Linked DNA regions of Canis lupus familiaris. The protein of the gene in region 3 binds, or shares a complex with, the protein of the main gene of each other region. Links are inferred from orthologs where the notes say so. Each region holds a gene or a part of one and is shown on either strand. Other genes may lie near its edges.

Evidence for each region. Proteins that work in one complex are often made in the same cells at the same time.
Region 1: MICOS13 (region 3) and IMMT share a complex: the UniProt entries of both Homo sapiens proteins name them as parts of the mitochondrial contact site and cristae organizing system (MICOS) complex. The link is inferred for Canis lupus familiaris from reciprocal best matches to the Homo sapiens genes MICOS13 and IMMT.
Region 2: MICOS13 (region 3) and CHCHD6 share a complex: the UniProt entries of both Homo sapiens proteins name them as parts of the mitochondrial contact site and cristae organizing system (MICOS) complex. The link is inferred for Canis lupus familiaris from reciprocal best matches to the Homo sapiens genes MICOS13 and CHCHD6.

The regions. Positions count from the first base shown.
Region 1 is NC_049238.1:39,249,158-39,254,927, forward strand, and holds the start of IMMT (MICOS complex subunit MIC60), read left to right. Parts: upstream 1-1,980; 5' UTR 1,981-2,108; coding exon 2,109-2,153; intron 2,154-5,770. UniProt on the Homo sapiens protein: Component of the MICOS complex, a large protein complex of the mitochondrial inner membrane that plays crucial roles in the maintenance of crista junctions, inner membrane architecture, and formation of contact sites to the outer membrane.
Region 2 is NC_049241.1:896,199-902,288, reverse strand, and holds the start of CHCHD6 (MICOS complex subunit MIC25), read right to left. Parts: upstream 3,791-6,090; 5' UTR 3,691-3,790; coding exon 3,604-3,690; intron 1-3,603. UniProt on the Homo sapiens protein: Component of the MICOS complex, a large protein complex of the mitochondrial inner membrane that plays crucial roles in the maintenance of crista junctions, inner membrane architecture, and formation of contact sites to the outer membrane.
Region 3 is NC_049241.1:54,734,919-54,740,475, reverse strand, and holds MICOS13 (MICOS complex subunit MIC13), read right to left. Parts: upstream 3,081-5,557; 5' UTR 2,588-3,080; coding exon 2,559-2,587; intron 1,993-2,558; coding exon 1,815-1,992; intron 1,696-1,814; coding exon 1,644-1,695; intron 1,277-1,643; coding exon 1,179-1,276; 3' UTR 1,042-1,178; downstream 1-1,041. Other genes in the region: HSD11B1L (hydroxysteroid 11-beta-dehydrogenase 1-like protein), read left to right, coding at 5,174-5,191, 5,279-5,405. UniProt on the Homo sapiens protein: Component of the MICOS complex, a large protein complex of the mitochondrial inner membrane that plays crucial roles in the maintenance of crista junctions, inner membrane architecture, and formation of contact sites to the outer membrane.

The DNA.
Region 1 (5,770 bases), on a different chromosome or scaffold from region 3:
TATGGTTTAGTAGCTGGATTCTGAAATTTGCTTATGCATTGTCTGTTGTTAATTTCACTTGTCACCTAGCTTCTGGAAAAATTCTACTGTAAAATTATGAGAAATGAGTGAAAACAGCTAATAATATCTTAATATTATGAAGGTAGTTTTGATTTTTATGGATCTTCTGAAAAGGTCTCAGACTCCCCAGTGGTCCCCGTTCACATTCTGAGAACCAACTGAGGAGAGTCATATCCTTTAATTCTTCTGGGTTTTAGGGTATGTAAGTGGGTGATGAGCTTTGACTACTATCATTGCTTTCTTAATCTCCCACCTAAGATGGCTAAATTGAGCCTTAAACATATTCTCATGTATTGAAAAAGTACTGAGACATTTCACAAATACTCTTTGAATTGATAATGGAAGTCCTTGCACATTTTTGAACAGAGGAATGATTTAAATTTGTATGTTACTTTGGGGGAGTCCACTTCAAAGCAAAAAAAAAAATCCATAAATTGCACGTGGAGGATGAAGATTAAGGATTTGGTTAAATGGGAGATGAGGAAACAACAAAAATTAATTTTGGAGCTTGAGATTTGGAAGCTGAAGTTGGTAACGATGTTCAGGCCCAGGATGTGGCTGGGCCACACACGGTTAGGGTAGATTTTTTTTTTTTTTTAATTTATGATAGTCACAGAGAGAGAGGCAGAGACACAGGCAGAGGGAGAAGCAGGCTCCATGCACCGGGAGCCCGACGTGGGATTCGATCCCGGGTCTCCAGGATCGCGCCCTGGGCCAAAGGCAGGCGCTAAACCGCTGCGCCACCCAGGGATCCCGGTTAGGGTAGATTTAAATTGCTTATTTGATATTGAGAGGTTTATGGCCAAGATATTAGAAAACTCATTACACTGGCATCACCCCGTATAACAGAACAGCAGTGGGCAGGGACGGGGGGTGGGTGGGAGGGGTTGGGGAGACTGCAATTTAATGCTAAAACTACTTTTAAAAACGGGAGACTGCTTTGGGGGCTGTTAGGTGATGGGGATATGAAATTAGAGAGCGTAACGTAATTTTTAAAGCACCCTGAAAAGCAATGAATATATACGGACATAAGTATTTGATTTTAGGTAATTTTCAAATTCCTTTCTCCATTTTACAAGTGGGATTAGTATCATACTGTGATACCACCATATTGTAAAACACCGTAACTCTAGGAACACCATGCTGTGATAAATAGCCTAGTTAAGACCTAAAAGCACTTAGCAAATGCAACGGATATACACGTTATTCAGTTTCTTTTGATATTGTGATGGTACGATCATTATTAGTAATAACAGTATTGAATACTGTGTTCAATATTTAACATACTAAATCTTGGTTACAGACTCCGTGGAATACTCTGAAGAGTTTTTCTACACTGATCTCCTTAACTTCCGACGCATTCCATCAAAATTATCTTTGTAAAAGGAAAACGTAGTGGGAAAATAAGTGTGGCTTAAATCTAGGAGTAGAAGCGGTGGAACCCGAAGGATGTGGGTTTCTATCCCTGCTCTGCCATTTATTAGATGCGCGAACAACGCGTTCCGCACAAAGGTCTCTCCAGTGTTCGTCCTCCCAATCTCCCATAATCAGGATGACTCCCTGAAGAAAGGCTGTCAAAGCAAACAAACACGCAAACCAAAACACCATTGTTTACGTAACTTTCGCCAAACCGTCTGCTTTCTACGAAATACCCAGCTGACAAATGCGGCCGGGATGTTTTTTTCCTTGAATTCTTCGACGAATAACATCTTCTATCCGCACTGATCAAAGCCCGAGTTTCGCGCTTCCTCTCACCCTCCGGGTTCACCTACTAACCCCTTCTGGCGGATACAGACCAGAACTCCGAAGGCGACCCGGAAGGAGAAATAGCCTTTTCCGCCCGGGGTCGGTGCGGGGGGGGGGCGCCTCTCCGGGCGGCCTGGGCGGGGTCGAGAAAGGGGGCTGCGCGTGCGCAGCGGCGTTTGTTGCCCTTCCGGTAGGACCGGCGCGGAGAGGCGGCACGGACGCAGGGACGTACGCACGCTCTCCCTTACTAACGCCTCCGCGGCAGCTCCCTCGTACGCCAGCCGTGCCCAAGCCCGGCCGAAATGCTGCGGGCCTGTCAGTTATCGGGTGTGACCGCCGCCGCCCAGGTGAGCGCGGGGGCGCTGGGAGAGCGCGTGGTGAGGCGGACTCCGGCCAACCAACGGAAAATGGGAGAGGCTTTCGCTCTGACTAGGCCCCGGGAGAGAGGCGTGTTTCGCGGCCGCCCTCATCGCGGGAGTCCTGGGCCGACCCGTGAAGCAGTTGATTAGGGGGTTCGCCCGACTGGGATGATTTGAGGGTTATTGCTGTAAGCGGGATGGGGTGTGGAGAGAAGGTGGTGGGGAGGCGGGCGCAGGACCGTCAGCGCGGCTTCGGGGACGCGTCGTCCAATCAGCGGCGCGCTGCCCCAGGCAGGGACCAATAGTGGCTCTGGCGCTCGGGTTGCCGGTTGGGCTCGTGATAGGTTTCGCGCAGCCAGTGGTTGAAGGTCGCGGGGAGAACTACAGTTCCCAGCAGGAAACGCCTATAGCCTTGGCTTGTTGCATCTTTAATAAGGAGGTGTTGGGACTGTTAGAGTCCACATTTTAGGGGTCAAGGTTGTAATTACTCGGGAAGGACCTTCTTTTTTGCAGCTTAGAGAGCCTCTGAGGTATTCTTACTCTAGACAAAAAATGAGAGATTGTAGTTTATGAAGTAAAAACTCTGGGTACTGAGGAAGAACAGGAGTCATGACCTTGTGCTCATTTCTGAGGTTAGCTTGGGGATGTATTTCTCCAGGTGCTGGGACAACTTTGGCAGACATCCAGGAAGCCTAGACACCCAGTGACTTACATCTGCACGCTTGTCAAAGTACTTTTCTAAAGTTGGAAATAAACTTCTATTTCTATTGTTCACAGTTTTCAGAATTATTGATATGTTGGAAGATGTATTGCACACCAAGCAGCAATTGAACAAAATCTCTAGTCAGAGTGAGTGAGAAATCATGTCAGGCTTTTTTTTTTTTTCCTTCAAGTTTGCTTGTCTCCCTACTTGTTGCCAGGATAGAAGCAGCTTTTGTAGGCAAGTAGGGTCTGTATTAGTTCTTTTTTGATGCATAACAGGTGTCACACACTTAGCAGCTTAAAACCGCACCCATTTATTCTTAGACTTTCTGGTTATGAATGGTCTGGATTCTTTGTTCGGTGCCGCACAAGGTTGCAGTTGAGGCATTGACTGCTGTGGTGCTCATCTGGACCTCAGAGTCCTCTTCCAAGTTCATTTTGGCAGAATTCAGTCCCTTGCACCTGAGGAACCGAAGTCCCTGTTTTCTTTCCTGCTGTCACCTAACTCTCTTAGAGTTTGCTCCAAGTGTGTTGCTCAGTGACATGGATGTTTGCTTTCTTGTAGGCTACCAGGAGCTTATCTCTTTGACTTCAGAAGTCTCTCTTAACTTTCCTGTTTTTGATCTCTAGATCAGCATGTAAAAGGCTTTAAGATTAGCCTGGCCCACCTGGAAAACCTCCCTTTTGATTAACTCAGAGTCACCTGATGAGTTACACACCTGCAAAATCCCTTTTGTCTTGCAACCCTAATCATGGGCTTAACAGGGTGGAAATTGTGTGGGCCATCTTAGAATCCCTCCTAATGTAGTACCCAAGTGGGACTAGAACTCTTTGAGTGCAGAACTCTTGGTTTGTCTTCAGAGCTCTCCTTTCATGGAACACTCTTGTTCTGCCCTCAGATTATGTCATGGCTGTCACCAATCTCCTTGTCTGCCATAAAATCTAAAATTTTTCTACTTTTTCCTTCCTTGTCTTGATGAAAACGCTTTCTACTTATTGGGATTCCAATTAGGAAGTTAGAAGAAAACATTAAAGCTTCACACTAAAATATGAACCCTTTTCTAGCTTGCATCCGCATTTTCTTAGGGTCTCGAAATTGCGATCTTGTAAAAATTCATTGGTTTCTTCTCATTTTGTAGCATTTGATATTGTTGCTTTGTGAAGCTGTTTTTGCTTTCTGGCTTTTCTTATGTAGTATCTAGGGGCTCTTTATCTTTCTCCTTTTTCCTTTATTGAATCTGCTACTTGTACCTCGAAATATATCCCCAAGGTCTGACCTCTCTTCCCATCTCTCTCTTTTTAATTAAGACTTTTTATTTTTTATATTTTGAAGATTTTATTTATTTATTCATGAGAGACAGAGAGAGAGAGAGGGGCAGAGACCTAGGCAGAGGGAGAAGCAGGCTCCATGCAGGGAGCCCAATGTGGGACTCGGTTCCGGGACTCCAGGATCAGGCCCTGGGCTGAGGGCAGGCGCTAAACCGCTGAGCCACCCAGGGATCCCCTAACTAAGACTTTTTAAAGAGCAGTTTTAGCTTTGCAGCAAAATTGAGGGGAAGGTAGAGATGTTCTGCCCCCACACATGCTTGCTTACCTTCCACCATTATCAACATCCCCCACCAGAGTGGTGCATTTATTACAGTTGATTAACTTACATGGGCATATCATAATCACCCAAAGCCCATAGTTTACATTGGGGCTCACTTTTGGTGTTGTACATTGTCTGGGTTTGGACAAATGTATGATGACATATGTCAGTCGTTACTGGTATCTTACAGAGTATTTTCACTGCCTTAAAAATCCTCTATTCTCCACTTACTCATCACTTTCTTTCCTCTCCTCGCAACCACTGATCTTTTTATTAACTCTTTAGTTTTGCCTTTCCAAAACGTCATATAGATGGAATCATACAGCGTGTAGCCTTCTCACATTGGCTTCAGTCGCTTCATAATGTGCATTTAACTTTCTTCCATGTCTCTTCATGGCTTGACAGCCTTCTTTTTTTTCTTTTCTTTAAGCATTGACTAATATTCCATTGTCTGGATGTACCACAATTTACCCATTCACCTACTGAAGGATGTCTTTGTTGCTTCCAAGTTTTAGCAGTTGTGAGTGAAGCTGGTCTAAATATTTCATGTGTAGGGTTTTGTGTGAACATGTTTTCAGCTCTTGGGTAAATACTGAGGTGCATGATTGCTGTATTATATGTTTAGTTTTTGTAAAAAAAAGTGTCAAACTGTCTTTCAGAGTGGCTGTACCTTTTGCATTGCTAGCAGTGATGAATGGGAGTTCTTGTTGTCCTACATCCTCATCAGCGTTTGGTGTTGTCAGTCTTAGGGACTTTGGCCATTCTGATGTATGTGATAATCTCATTGTTGCCCCATCTCTTTATATACTGTTACTTGGGATTATATCAATTCTCAGAACTTTCATCCCCAGCAGATGGTTCTTTAGATTCTTTTGAGCTTTCTAGTCAAATTTTCTTTTCCTTGTTTGATTTTGTCAACTTTATCCAGAATATTCTACTTGTCAAAATCTTTTCCATTCTGTCAAGCTTCATCTTCTTTGATGTTTTCCTGCTTTACTATTGCCCTTTTAGAGTCTTCTGGAATTTTTTTTTTCATTAGGATTGTAAAAACTGTTACTCATTACTCAGCAGTAATGTCTGCCAAGTATACATGGTAGAAAGTACTTTAATATATCATTGCTCTTTGCTTTTATTGGTGTTAGATCATTTTTTATTATTCCTTATTTTCATCTTTTTAGGCCAGTGGCTTTCAAGCCATTTTGGAATATTTACATCGTAACTTAAGACATGCAAGTGGGAATATATGAGTAATATATATTCATACATGTATGGAGGGAAAACTAAAGTATTAAGTTCCTTCTTTTGCCATATTTAA
Region 2 (6,090 bases), about 54 Mb from region 3:
GTGTCCTATCTGAGATGGGGAGAACAGCTCACAAGGTCAGCGAGGGGAAGGTCTGAGCTAGTGCTCAGAAAACACAGCTCAGCCCACACTTCTCACGGCTGGCTCTGGTGCATCTTCAGTGTCCCCTCCTCAGGGTGGCAGTGTCTGCCGTCCCACCTCCAATGGGGAGTCCCCGTTACTTTGCACACTTTTGTTTCCTTCAGCACACTTGCAGTGCTTTTTTATTCTTTTGACTTTTTCTTCCTTTTGGTCTGTTCCTGCTACTGGGCTGAGGTTTCCATGAGGGCGAGGATCTTGTGCTTCGTTCATCCCTTACTGTCTCTGCAAGGCCAGGCCCAGTACCTAACAAGTAACGTGTTCGTATTTATTGAGGTGACAGGTTAAGTGGGGGCTAGTGGGGCAGTGCTCAGGCATAGGGCTTCTCTGGCAATGGCATGTTTGGGGACTATTTCTTGTGCATCTTTCTACATCCTCCTTGGTCCTCCCCTAAAGCAGTGGTCCAAACTTGCCTCATGGAAAACAATGGATAATGGTAAATGTGATGTAGCCCTGAGAGCGTAATGAGCCTGGGGACATAAGGATCATGCAGCAGGCCAGCAAGTGACTTGGAAAGAATGGCAGCAGTTGGAAGGGGAAAAGGCTGGAGAACAGTGAGTCTACATGTTGAAAAGCAACCAACTTTATCTGCATTACCAAATATTGGCTGTTTACATGGGGCAAAGAGGAAAAGTGGGCACACACAGGACATTATGACCATGCATGCACCTTCTCTCATTGGAGGATGAGGTTAAATAGACTGGATAAAAAGTAATCTTTATGTATTTCACACATGCTTGCTCTGAAAACTGCAGTTGAATATAATTGCAGCATTTTGCATTAATTAAATTTCTTTTACCTTCCTTGGAATTAGGGCTTGAACTCAATATGTAAATTTATGCAAATTAATTGCAAAGTAGCAAGGCCCTAGAACTGAATCTTAAGGAAACTAGAGCACTTTCCAAGATCAGGGCCTGGGGATTAAATATGAGTGTCTTTAAGAATATTTAACTTTCTCTGAAGAACCTGGGGCAGATACTCTTCTCTGGCATCTACCTTCTATTAAAGTAACTTCTCATTTGGCTCATCTAACAATCTCTACTGATTTTTACTTGCCTGCTTAAGGAGAAGGTGGACTCTCCAACCCTCAAGTAACTCTGCTAGTAGAAAAAACCCCTACACCAAACACTTCATTACCATCACTTCCTTTTTCAAATCTCCCTCCCCAAAACCAGGCACAAAAGTGCAAGGAAGGAAGGGAGGAAGGAGAGGAAGGAAGGAGAGGAAGGAGAGGAAGGAGAAGAAGGAGAAGAAGGAGCTCTCATAGTATGGGGCCATACTCTGGGCAAGTCATTCTTCTCTCTGATGAATCTGCCCAGCATTCAGTCACCAAAGCTCCCTTCAGCTTCAACAGTCTCTGGGAGAAAACAAGTGGGGTACCAGTACTGTCAGAACAGGCAGAGGCTGTGACACACAATTTTCAGGCTGCCTTGCCTATTACTTAGGAAAGGAGCCTGGAGTAGTGAGAAAAGGCTGTTTCTTGCACTCAAAAGATCTGGACTCAAGCCCCATCAGCCAATCAGGTAACGCTCTGAACAAATTCTTTAACAGCTCTAAGCCTGACTTTCCATCTTTAACAAGAACTTCTACTTTGCAGAATTGTTAAGGGCACTAGAAACAAAATGTAGTAGTCTGATACGATGGCCCCCAAAATGATCTTCTGTCAACTCAGAGGAACTCACCTTCAAAAGGACCCCCTTGAATCTCAGGAGACCCTGACTGACCTAACCTTCCAAACTTCCCAAACACTGGATACCAGGTGACAAAGGTGAGAGCCCCCAAACAGAGCCAAGGGTGTTCTTCTAAATTCCAGTTCAGGCTCCTACTTCTCAACCTTCAAACATGGGCCATCTGCTCCCTATTTTGTCTTCTCTGGAGCCAGGTCAAGACTAGATAACATCTAGCAAGCACCCACTGTGCTAAGCACTAGACTAGACTAAGAACAGAGGCCATCACAAAACACAAGCACTTCTAAACACTTCCATATACATCTTCATCTTATCCTAGGCAGTACCTGGGATTATACAGCCTCCCCTAATTTTCTTAAGAATGTGGTCATTGAGACTCAAAAGAGAAGTTGTTCACCCAAGGCCACATAGCTAATAAGCATCTGCCTGGGAGTCAGACCTCCTGATGTCTTTTTCTGAGCTACTCTCTAATTCGCCTATACTCAGCTCTGCATTTTGTTTGGATTTGGTGGCTGTTTCACTGGGCTTATCCATTTAGCCACCCAACAATCATTTACAAACCACAATGTGCCAGGCACAAGTGCATGAAGTGCAGCATTCAATCAACAGGCCCTGGGGTTGGCCTGCTTCAATCGCAGCTCTTCCTCTTGTTGACCTGGGCGGAGTTACGTCATCTCTCAGTGTCTAATCTGTCCTTAGTCTGCAAAATGGGCAAACAGTGTTCTACCTCTCTCACCGGGCTGTTGAAAAGTAAATGAGAGGTTGCCTGTAAAGGACTCAGTGGAACCCATGGTCCCCACTAAGCACTCAAATGTGGGCTGCTTTTAGACTTCTCCTAGGTTCTGGGGATGGAGTCGTGACTCAGAAATGAAGCTTAGCCTCAAGGAGCTTACACGTGGTGGGAAACACAATAAATAATCAAGTTTCCAATGGTGACTCACGCCTACTAGGAAAAACCACGTGTGACGGAGGGAGGGGGCTACTTTAGAAGACTGGTCACCGAAGAATGCTCGGATGATCCTCACCCCGCCAACAAGAGGCAGATCCAGGAAAAGCTGGGGGAGTAGAAACCGCCAACGCAGCGGTGAACGCCAGGAGCCGCCCCTGGAGCCGCCCCTGGAGCCGCCCCTGGAGCCGCCCCTGGAGCCGCCCCTGGAGCCGCCCGGGCCAACGCCGCGCAGTCGGAAGGCCGCGGGGCGGGGCGCGGGGCGGGGCGCGGGGCGGGGCGCGGGGCGGGGCGCGGGGCGGGGCGGGGCGCGGGGCGGGGCGGGGCGCGGGGCGTGAGGGGCGGCCACACGCGGCGGCCTGGTCGGGCAGGGAGGTGGCCCCTCTTGGTCTGGAAAGCGCCAGGCCTCCGCGGGGCGGGGGTGAGGGGAGCAGGGGGGTTTGTGATCTGATTCACAACGTCTAACTGCTCCTGGGCTGCGGCGTCGGTGAGCGGGGAGCGTCCACGCCTGCAGGCGTCTGGGCCCAGAGCTGCAGTGCGGAGAGTCGGGTCCGCCCGGGTCCGCCCGGCAACGGCAGCTGCACAGGTGCAGGGGGCCCCCTCCCCTCCCCTCCCCTCCCCGCTCTCGGCCTCGGCCTCGGCCAGCGGGGCTGCGACGGCGGCCTCTCCCGGACGGCGGCCCCGGGCAGCCCCCGGACCTCGGGCCCCGCGTCCCAGGCGGACGCTCGCCGCCGCGGCGCCGGGAGGGTCACCGAGCGAGGCGCGCCCGCCCGCCCGCCCCCGGCCCGACCCTCCCTCAGGCCGGCCCGCGCCCCCCACGCCCACCCGGCCCAGGCCGCGCTCGCTCGTCGCGCCGGCCGGCGGCCCGCTCACCCGGATGCCCTGCAGCACCCGGACCCGCTCCTCCTCGTCCATCCCGAAGGACACCCTGCGGGCCTCGCAGCTCTCGGTGCTCCCCATGGCAGGAGGAGAGCGGGCGGGCGGCCGCGCGACCCGGCTCCAGAGCAACCGGGCGGACGCCGGGCTGCGGCTCCCTGCGCGCCCCGCGCTGCCCGGGACTCGGGTGCGGCACAAGCCAACAAGACCCCGTCCTATTGGCCGCCGCTGCCAGCTCAGCCAATCCTGCGGCGCGTGCCTGAGGGGCATTGTGGGGGTTGTAGTCTGGACCGCCGGGGCTGCCCGTCGGAGGCGTGGCGCCCGGGCGGCGGGAAGCGTGTTGGAGTGCAGCAGGCAGGGGAGGGGAAGATCGCCCTTGAAGCAGAGCCGGGGGCGATGTTGAAAGGCCGGGAGCCCCCCGAGGAGTTGAGCCAGCCATGCGAGGGCGACCTTGGTTCATTCAGCAAACCCCTTTTGAGCAGCGCTTACCAAGACGGAGCAAGCATTGAACCAGCCGTGGGGAACAAGACGTCCTGCCTTCGTGAGATTTAGACCTAATGGAAGGAACAAATGAAAAGACAAACAAGCAAGCACATAAATAAGCTTACTAACCACTGTGACAAGTGCCAGAAATGGAAAAGACTATCACAATGCCCCGTGAGAAACTAGTAGGAGGGGGTCTCTAATGTGACAGACCAGAGCAACCTCTATGAGAAAGAAGGATTTGAATTGAGACATAAGGATAAGTAGGAGTTAGCCAGGAGAAGATGAGGGAAGCACTTGGCTGGGAAACAACCAGTGCAAAGGCCCTGAGACAAAGAAGACCTTGCCGCATTTAAGAAATACAGGGCTTAGCCACACGACTGAGAAGTGCAAGGGAGCAGAAGAGAGCCAGAGGCAAGAAGGTGAAGGGAGCAGGAACGTCTCACATCACTAGGGCCTTATAGGCAGGTCAGAGTTTTAGTCTACTTTTTTTAAGATTTTATTTATTTATTCGTGAAAGACACACACACAGAGGCAGAGACACAGGCAGAGGCAGAAGCAGGCTCCATGCAGGGAGCCCGATGCAGGACTCAATCCTGGGACTCCAGGATCACGCCCTGGGCCAAAGGCAGACGCTAAACCGCTGAGCCACCCAGGGATCCCCAGAGATTTATTCTAAATACCCTGTTAAGACGGTGAATGCTCATAAGCATTGAGGAAACATTGGTCAGGGAGCATACATGTCATGCATTCAGGGCAGTGTATCAAGCACTGTGTTTATGCTTACACAGGATCATATGTGTAGTGGAGGAACACAAATGATTGTGAATTATAGCCATAGTGACATTGAATGAAGCCTCGTTTTGTTCAACCAAGTTGCTAAATGGCTTTGATTTACAAAGTGGGCCTGGAGCTGAGTTTTTTTTTTTTTAATATTTTTTTAAGATTTTTATTTTATTTATTTATTCATAGAGCCAGAGAGGCAGAGACACAGGCAGAGGGAGAAGCAGGCACCATACATAGAGCCTGACGTGGGACTCGATCCAGGGTCTCCAGGATCAAGCCCTGGGCTGCAGGCGGCGCTAAACCGCTGCGCCACCGGGGCTGCCCCTGGAGCTGAGTTTGAAATCTTGAACTGAGAAACCCTAAATTGCTACATGAAATAGCAAGAGTCATTTGGAGCTGCTTTTGGGAACCTGGAAAAGAAGGAGTGAGGAGGAGAGAGTGAATGAGAGAGACCAATGAGAATTAGGAAGCCAATGAACATTCCAGAGGTAGGGCCAGAGGATTTTTATGAACAAGGATATCTGCTACTTCCATTCAAAATACTTTGATTTGTAAATCTCTCTCCTTCCTTTCTGTCCTCCATTTCTTCCATATAAGCAGAGCGGGAGAAGGTGACTCTGGCTCAAGTGGCTTATTGGAAGGTGCCTCAGGAGAAAGAAAGTAAGAGAACAGGATGAAGTGGGGTCAAAGCTGGAGACTGGCTTCCACCTAATGCTAGGCAGGGCTGGGTGGGGGCAAGGCTCTGGAGAACAAATTAAATACAGAATTAGCCTCATCCTACAACAAGGGGACAGGCCTTCTGTCCCCCATGTCAGTCAATTATTGGCAGCCCAGCACAATTCCCCAGTGAAGGGGGCATCTGTGAGTTGTCAATAGCCACAACCAGACGCTGGGGGATGGCCCCACCAGCTGGTAAAAAAACCTGGGTGGGGAACTTTAAGCATCCACTACATGCTCCACATATTTTTGAAGGTCTCCCAAACACTCAAACACCTATGGCTGTGGAGGGAGGCTTGTGAAAAGTTGAGAAAGGAATGGATTTCACTTCTGGGTCAGATGGTGAAATAACACACTGAACTCATTCTGCAAAATGAGAGTCAGAACCACATGCCTGAGCTTGAGACTGTATGTGGCCTCCCCCGCCGCCACTGTGTGCAACATCCCAGGAGAGAATCAGAATTGCACAAGACCTGGAGTGGGGGTTATGGTGTCAGC
Region 3 (5,557 bases):
AGGAAGGGGTCGGGAGGCTTTCCAGAGGAGGCCAATGCTAAGCTGCAGGCAGGATGAGCCAGAGTCAGGAGGGAGGATGGCCTGCTGAGTGGGTGCCAAGGCCAGTGGTGAAGACCAACTGCGTTCTGGGAATGGGGCCCCTTGGAGGAGTCCGGGCTCAAGGGGAAGGCAGCAGGGAGCCATAGAGGGTTTCCGAGGAGGGCAGGGACATGTTCAGACTTGGACCTGGGAAGTGGATGGAAGGGCACAAGGCCGAGAGCCGGGGGCGGGGGGGGGGGGGCGTCAGTGCAAACAGACCTAGGGCTTGGGGAAGGCATCTCTTCAGAGCTGCTGAGGGACCCGCAGGGCCTGGAGCAGCCTGAGGCCCCAGCAGCCCTCGGGGTACGTGTGTCCGTCTGTAAGAGACGCAGCCCTGCCTGCCCTGTGCCCTCAGACAGGTGCCTCTATCTCCGCCCTTTTCCTCACCTGGAAACCACACGGCCCACCCTCGTCCTCGCTGTGCGGCTGCCTTGGGGGTGGCCAGGTGCTTCCTGAAGCCCTGCCTGCCTGCCTGCCCGGCGCCCCTGGGCCACACCTGGCCATCTCTGCTTTTTTGCAGCCCCCACGTCATGACCCCCTCCCCGGGGACACAGGCCCGTCCTGCGGGGACTGCAGTCGCTCTCGTGAGCAGCTCTACACACGGTGATCACTGAGCGGCCCCGGGAACTCCTGGCCACGCAGACAGCGGGGAGATGAACATGCCCCTCCCCAGGCCCCCAGCCCCGCAAAGCCCCCACCCTGGGCTCAGCCCTCCAGGAAGGCCGGCATCGGCACTTTCTCAACCCGTTCCTGGGCCCCTGAGCACTGTCCGTGGAGCTCCAGGGTCAATGTCTGCCCCCAGCCCCGCACCAGGTTGGAGACTCAGCAGTGGGGTCCGGACGGCAAAGGGGTTAACCAACACCTGTGGTCCAGGTCAGGCCCTGAGGAGCTGCTAGCCCAGGCCCCTTGCTCTGGGCACCAGCCGGGCCACCCCCAGCCCCCAGGGCCAGCACACGGGTCGGGGAGCATTTCCAAAGTCCTTTATTGGGCCGGCAAGGCCGGGAGCTGCCCTCGAGTGGGGTCCCAGTCCCAGTCTGGAGTCTCCAGGTCGCTGGTGCCCCTGCCCCCGTTCCTGACTGGGGCAGGTGGCCTCTGGCAGGCTACTTGATCCGCTCCTTCAGGTATTCCCAGCCGTCCCTGGAGTACTCGCGGGCCTTGGAGGGGGCCACCGACAGAGCTGACATCACCGTGAGGATCCCTGTGGAGAGGGAGGCCCCAGCGCCTTCAGCCACCGCGTCTCGCCCACCCACACCAGCCCCCCGGAAACCCGAGCTCCACAAGGCTTTGAGAGGCACCAGTTCCAGCGCCATCGGTCCCACATGGGGAAACTGAGGCGGGGGGGGGGGCAGGGCCTCATGTTGTCTGAGATCACCTGTCCTCAAAGTAGGCTCCCTCTGGCTCACCCCTCCCTGAAATCTCCACCCTCTTTAGATCCTTTAGATCCGTGGCAGGGGTGCAGGGCAGCACGGGGAGCCACGGGAAGGAGTGACCAGGAAGCAAGCGGTGGCAGGGTTGTGAGGCTGCGGTGGCAGGGGTCACCCCCCAGCACGGGGACCAGGGCCTACCTGAGTTCCAGGTGTCACGGAAGTGAAAGTTAAATTTTGGAGGGGCTGGGAGCTGGGAAGAGAGGGGAGAAGGGGCAGGTGAGAAGGGGAAGGGCCCCGCGGCCCCAGCCTCGCAGGACCGAGCCCGTGGGAGGACGCGGACACGGACACGGACACGCCGCCGGGGGCTACCTGGGGCATCTTCAGGCCGGTCTGCTCGCACACGTACTGGCTGAGCTGGTACATGGCTGGGGGCACCACCTCCTCGGCCCTCTGGAGCACAGCCTGGCTCTTGTCGCTTGGGCCCAGCAGCTCCTGGTCGTACACCAGGTAGACCGCACCCCCGGCCACGCTGCCCTTGATGAGGAACCTGCGGTGGTGGGGGGGGGGGAGGCAGGGCGGCGGCTCAGCAGCTCCCCGGCACTGCCGGCAGCCCCGGGCTCCTGGCCCACGCGGGGCGCCTGGGTCCGGGGAGTGACACAGCGAGGCCGGGCAGCGGACACGGAAGAACAAGGAGGCGGCCGGGCACCGCCTGGCACAACGCTCCCCTCACTGCACAGAGCACAGCCCCTCGGCCCCGTTTAACAGGTAAACTGAGGCCCACTCGTGATCCGCACACGGCGCGGCGAGGGAAGGCCTAGACCCCCGGCCTTGTGCCTCGCGGGGTCCCGCGCGGCCCTGGGCGCTCCTTGGACGTCGCGCGTCGCCCCGGGCACCCGGGGTCTTGGCGCAGCGCGGGCGGCACTCCCGCCGTCCAGGGGAGGCACCTGCGGCCCCGGATCGCGGGAGGCCCCTCCCCTCCTGACCCTCAGGTCAGGCCGAGGCGGGACCCGACGCCACGGAACTCCAAGACCCAGCCGGAAGCAAACCCGGCGGGGGGTGCCCACGGGAGGGGCTTTCTCGGGGGCTCGGAGCCCGCCCCGCCGCCCCACGCACCTCATCAGCGACCACACTCGGGGCACCATGGTCGCTCGGCTCCGCGCGCAAGGACACTCGACTCGCCCGCCGCTTCCGGTGACTGCGCCGCAGAGGCCTCTGGGAAACGTAGTCGCCCGACTCAGCCGCAAAGGCCTGTGAGAGTCGAAGTCGCGCGGCGGCCGCAAAACGCCGGAGAGGCTCCGCAGCCCTCCAGCGAAAGGATTCTGAGAAGTGTAATCTTCAGAGCCCGGACGCCGCAAGGCTGCCTGGGAAATGGAGTCAGGACCAACCCCCGTGAGGCGCCGGACGGCTCGCCCAGCCGCCGAGACTGCTGGGAGATGTAGTCCGGTCTGGCGCGGCTCCGGCGGCGTGCGAGGAAAAGAGGAGTCGGGCGTCTAGACTGAGGCCCGACAGTGGCCCAAGAAGGCGTCGGAGTCCGGGAGATCCACCCGCGCCCGCGCGGGGGACCGAGGGCCCCGGCCCAGGGCGAGTGTGCCAATAAGATGGTTGGTTGTCACGGCAACGCGAGGTCGGAATTGTGCGTGGGAGGCGGGCCCTCGGTCACGTGCCTGCCTCGGGGGCGGGGCTTTCGTCCAGGGGGCGGGCCCAGGACCACGGCGGGGCGAGGGCGAGCCGGGCGGAAGGCCGTTGCCGGGCAACGCCCGGGCGCCGCGCTCCCCCGCCAGGCCCCGCCCCCTGCGGAGGTGGGCTCGGTGTCACGTGACCCGGACCCTACGGGAGGGGGCGCGGTCGGGGGCCCGGCGGAGCCGGCAGCGTAGGGAGGTGCGAGTCCGAGGGGTGCGCGCCGGGCTCCCAGGCCCGGACCCCAGCCCCGCTGGACGGCGGGAGAAACTGAGGCCCGAGTGGGTGAGTACGAGGTTGGGAGCGCGCGGCACGTCGCACGCCCTTTTTGTCCAGAGGGGAAACTGAGGCTCTGTGAGGTCAGGGGACCAGTGCGTTCTGCGAGGGTCTGGTTCTCCCAATTCCGTCCCCATGGGACGCCGGCCGGCTGCTCCGTCCATCCATCCACCCACCCATCCACCCAGACGGCCAGCCGGCCGCCCGCCCCCGCCCCCGCCCCCGCCGCGTGGCTGCTGTGGTCAGGGTGGAAGAGGGTCAAGTTGCGGGACTTCACGGGCGTCCCCTGGAAAGCGGGGAGAGGTGGGATGGCTGCCGTGACTGGGGAAGGGCGAGGACTTCACTCTTCGGAGAGCTGAGAAAGAGTCACAGACAGGAACCCGGCAAGATGAGAAGGGACAGGTGGGCCAGGGCCGGGCCCGCGGCGCATTGTGGGCCGGGGTGAGGAGCTCGGTCTCCACGAGGGGCAGTGGCGAGCCCTGAGAGGGTTTGCAGCAGCAAGGGGCAGTCACATTTCTTTGGGTAAATATGTCTTGGGCTGCCCGGAGAGCATAGGGTGCGGAGGAGGGAGTGGGAGGGTGGGGGAGGCAGGGGGAGGCAGCTGGAAGTTGGCAGTAGGTCGAAGGATCTAGACATCTCAGAGCTGAGGGCACCCCAGCCCCACCATCTCTCAGTTCTACAGTTCTACCCCTACTGCGTTCAGAGAACAGAAACCCCAGGATGTGACGGGCCTGTGCCTTCCTTGGGGGAAGATTCGTGCCCCCCTGAATCGTGAAGTCCTTGGCCTGTTTCTCTCTTTCACCTTCTCCCCGGAACAAGTAAATCCACTCCCACAGCTCAAGTCACATCTTAACCGTGACGACACAGGCTCCTTCCTGGTGTCTCCAGAGTCATCTCTCCGGGTCCCCCCAGCTGTCACTTCCAATGTTCGTCACATCACTCAGGGCCAGTCTCGTGTCTGTCGAGCATCTGCTCCATGTCTGGCAGTTTGGGGGCCACTGAGGACCCAACAGCGAACAAAGCAGAAGCAAGTTTCCGTTTCCTTCCTGCCTCGTGGAGCTGACGCTCTAAGAGGAGAGAGGGACAGGGAGCATGTAACAGATCATCAGGATGATTTCAGATCATGGCAAGTGCTGAGAGCGTGGAAGTTTTAGAGGCAAGAGGAGGGAGAGGGACCAGGAGGTACTTTAGGAAAGGAGGCCAGGGGGTTTTCCTTGGAGAAGGTCAGTTTTGTGCTGACTTCAGAGAAGTGAGAGAGCAACTCATTGGGTTATATTTGGGAAGAGCATTTCGGGCAGAGGGAGTAGCCAATGCAAAGGCCCTGAGGCAGGATGGAGTCTGGCTCCTTCTAAGGAATGCTGAAGAGGCGCTGTTTTGGCAAACAGAGCAAGAGGGGCTGGTCCTCGTGGGGCCTTTTTGAGCATCAAGGAGCCTGGCTTTTGTCCTAAATGAGATGGGGAGGGTTTTCAGCAGGGGGAGGTAAGATGTAATTTGGCTGCTTCTAGGAGGGAGAACAACCTGAAGAGGCGAGGGGAAGCTATATGACCTGGACCAGGTGCTGGCTGCGGAGATGGAGGAGAGAGGGCAGGGCCTGGAGGGAGCATCGTCAGCAAACAAAGGCCCAGCTGGGGAAATGGGGGTGGCTGTGGGCCAGGCTGTGCGCCAGGCTGTGCCTGCCATCCTCTCTCCCGCTGCAGACCCTGCAGACTCAGAGCCGGCCATGAAGGTTCTGCTCCTCACGGGGCTGGGAGCCCTGTTCTTCTCCTACTACTGGGATGACAACTTTGACCCTGGTGAGTGCCTGGAGGTGGGGGAGGGACGAATTGGGCCCCCCATCCGGGGCATCCCCAGCATTGACCACGGTGCACACTGCTAGCCAGCCTCCAGGGAGCCCGGGTGCTGCTGACCGGGGCCAGCGCAGGCGTCGGGGAGGAGCTGGCCTATCACTACGCTCGCCTGGGCTCCCACCTGGTGCTCACAGCCCACACCGAGGCTTTCCTGCAGAAGGTGAGACGCCGATTTCCAGTGGAATGGTGGGGGCGGGAGTGGCTGGAAAACCGGGCCTGGGTTCAAATACTCCCAAAGATCCAGGCTTCGTCTGTGACCTGTAGCAAGTAGGTTAACCCTGAGCCTAGGTTCCTCATTCGCCCCCCAGAGAC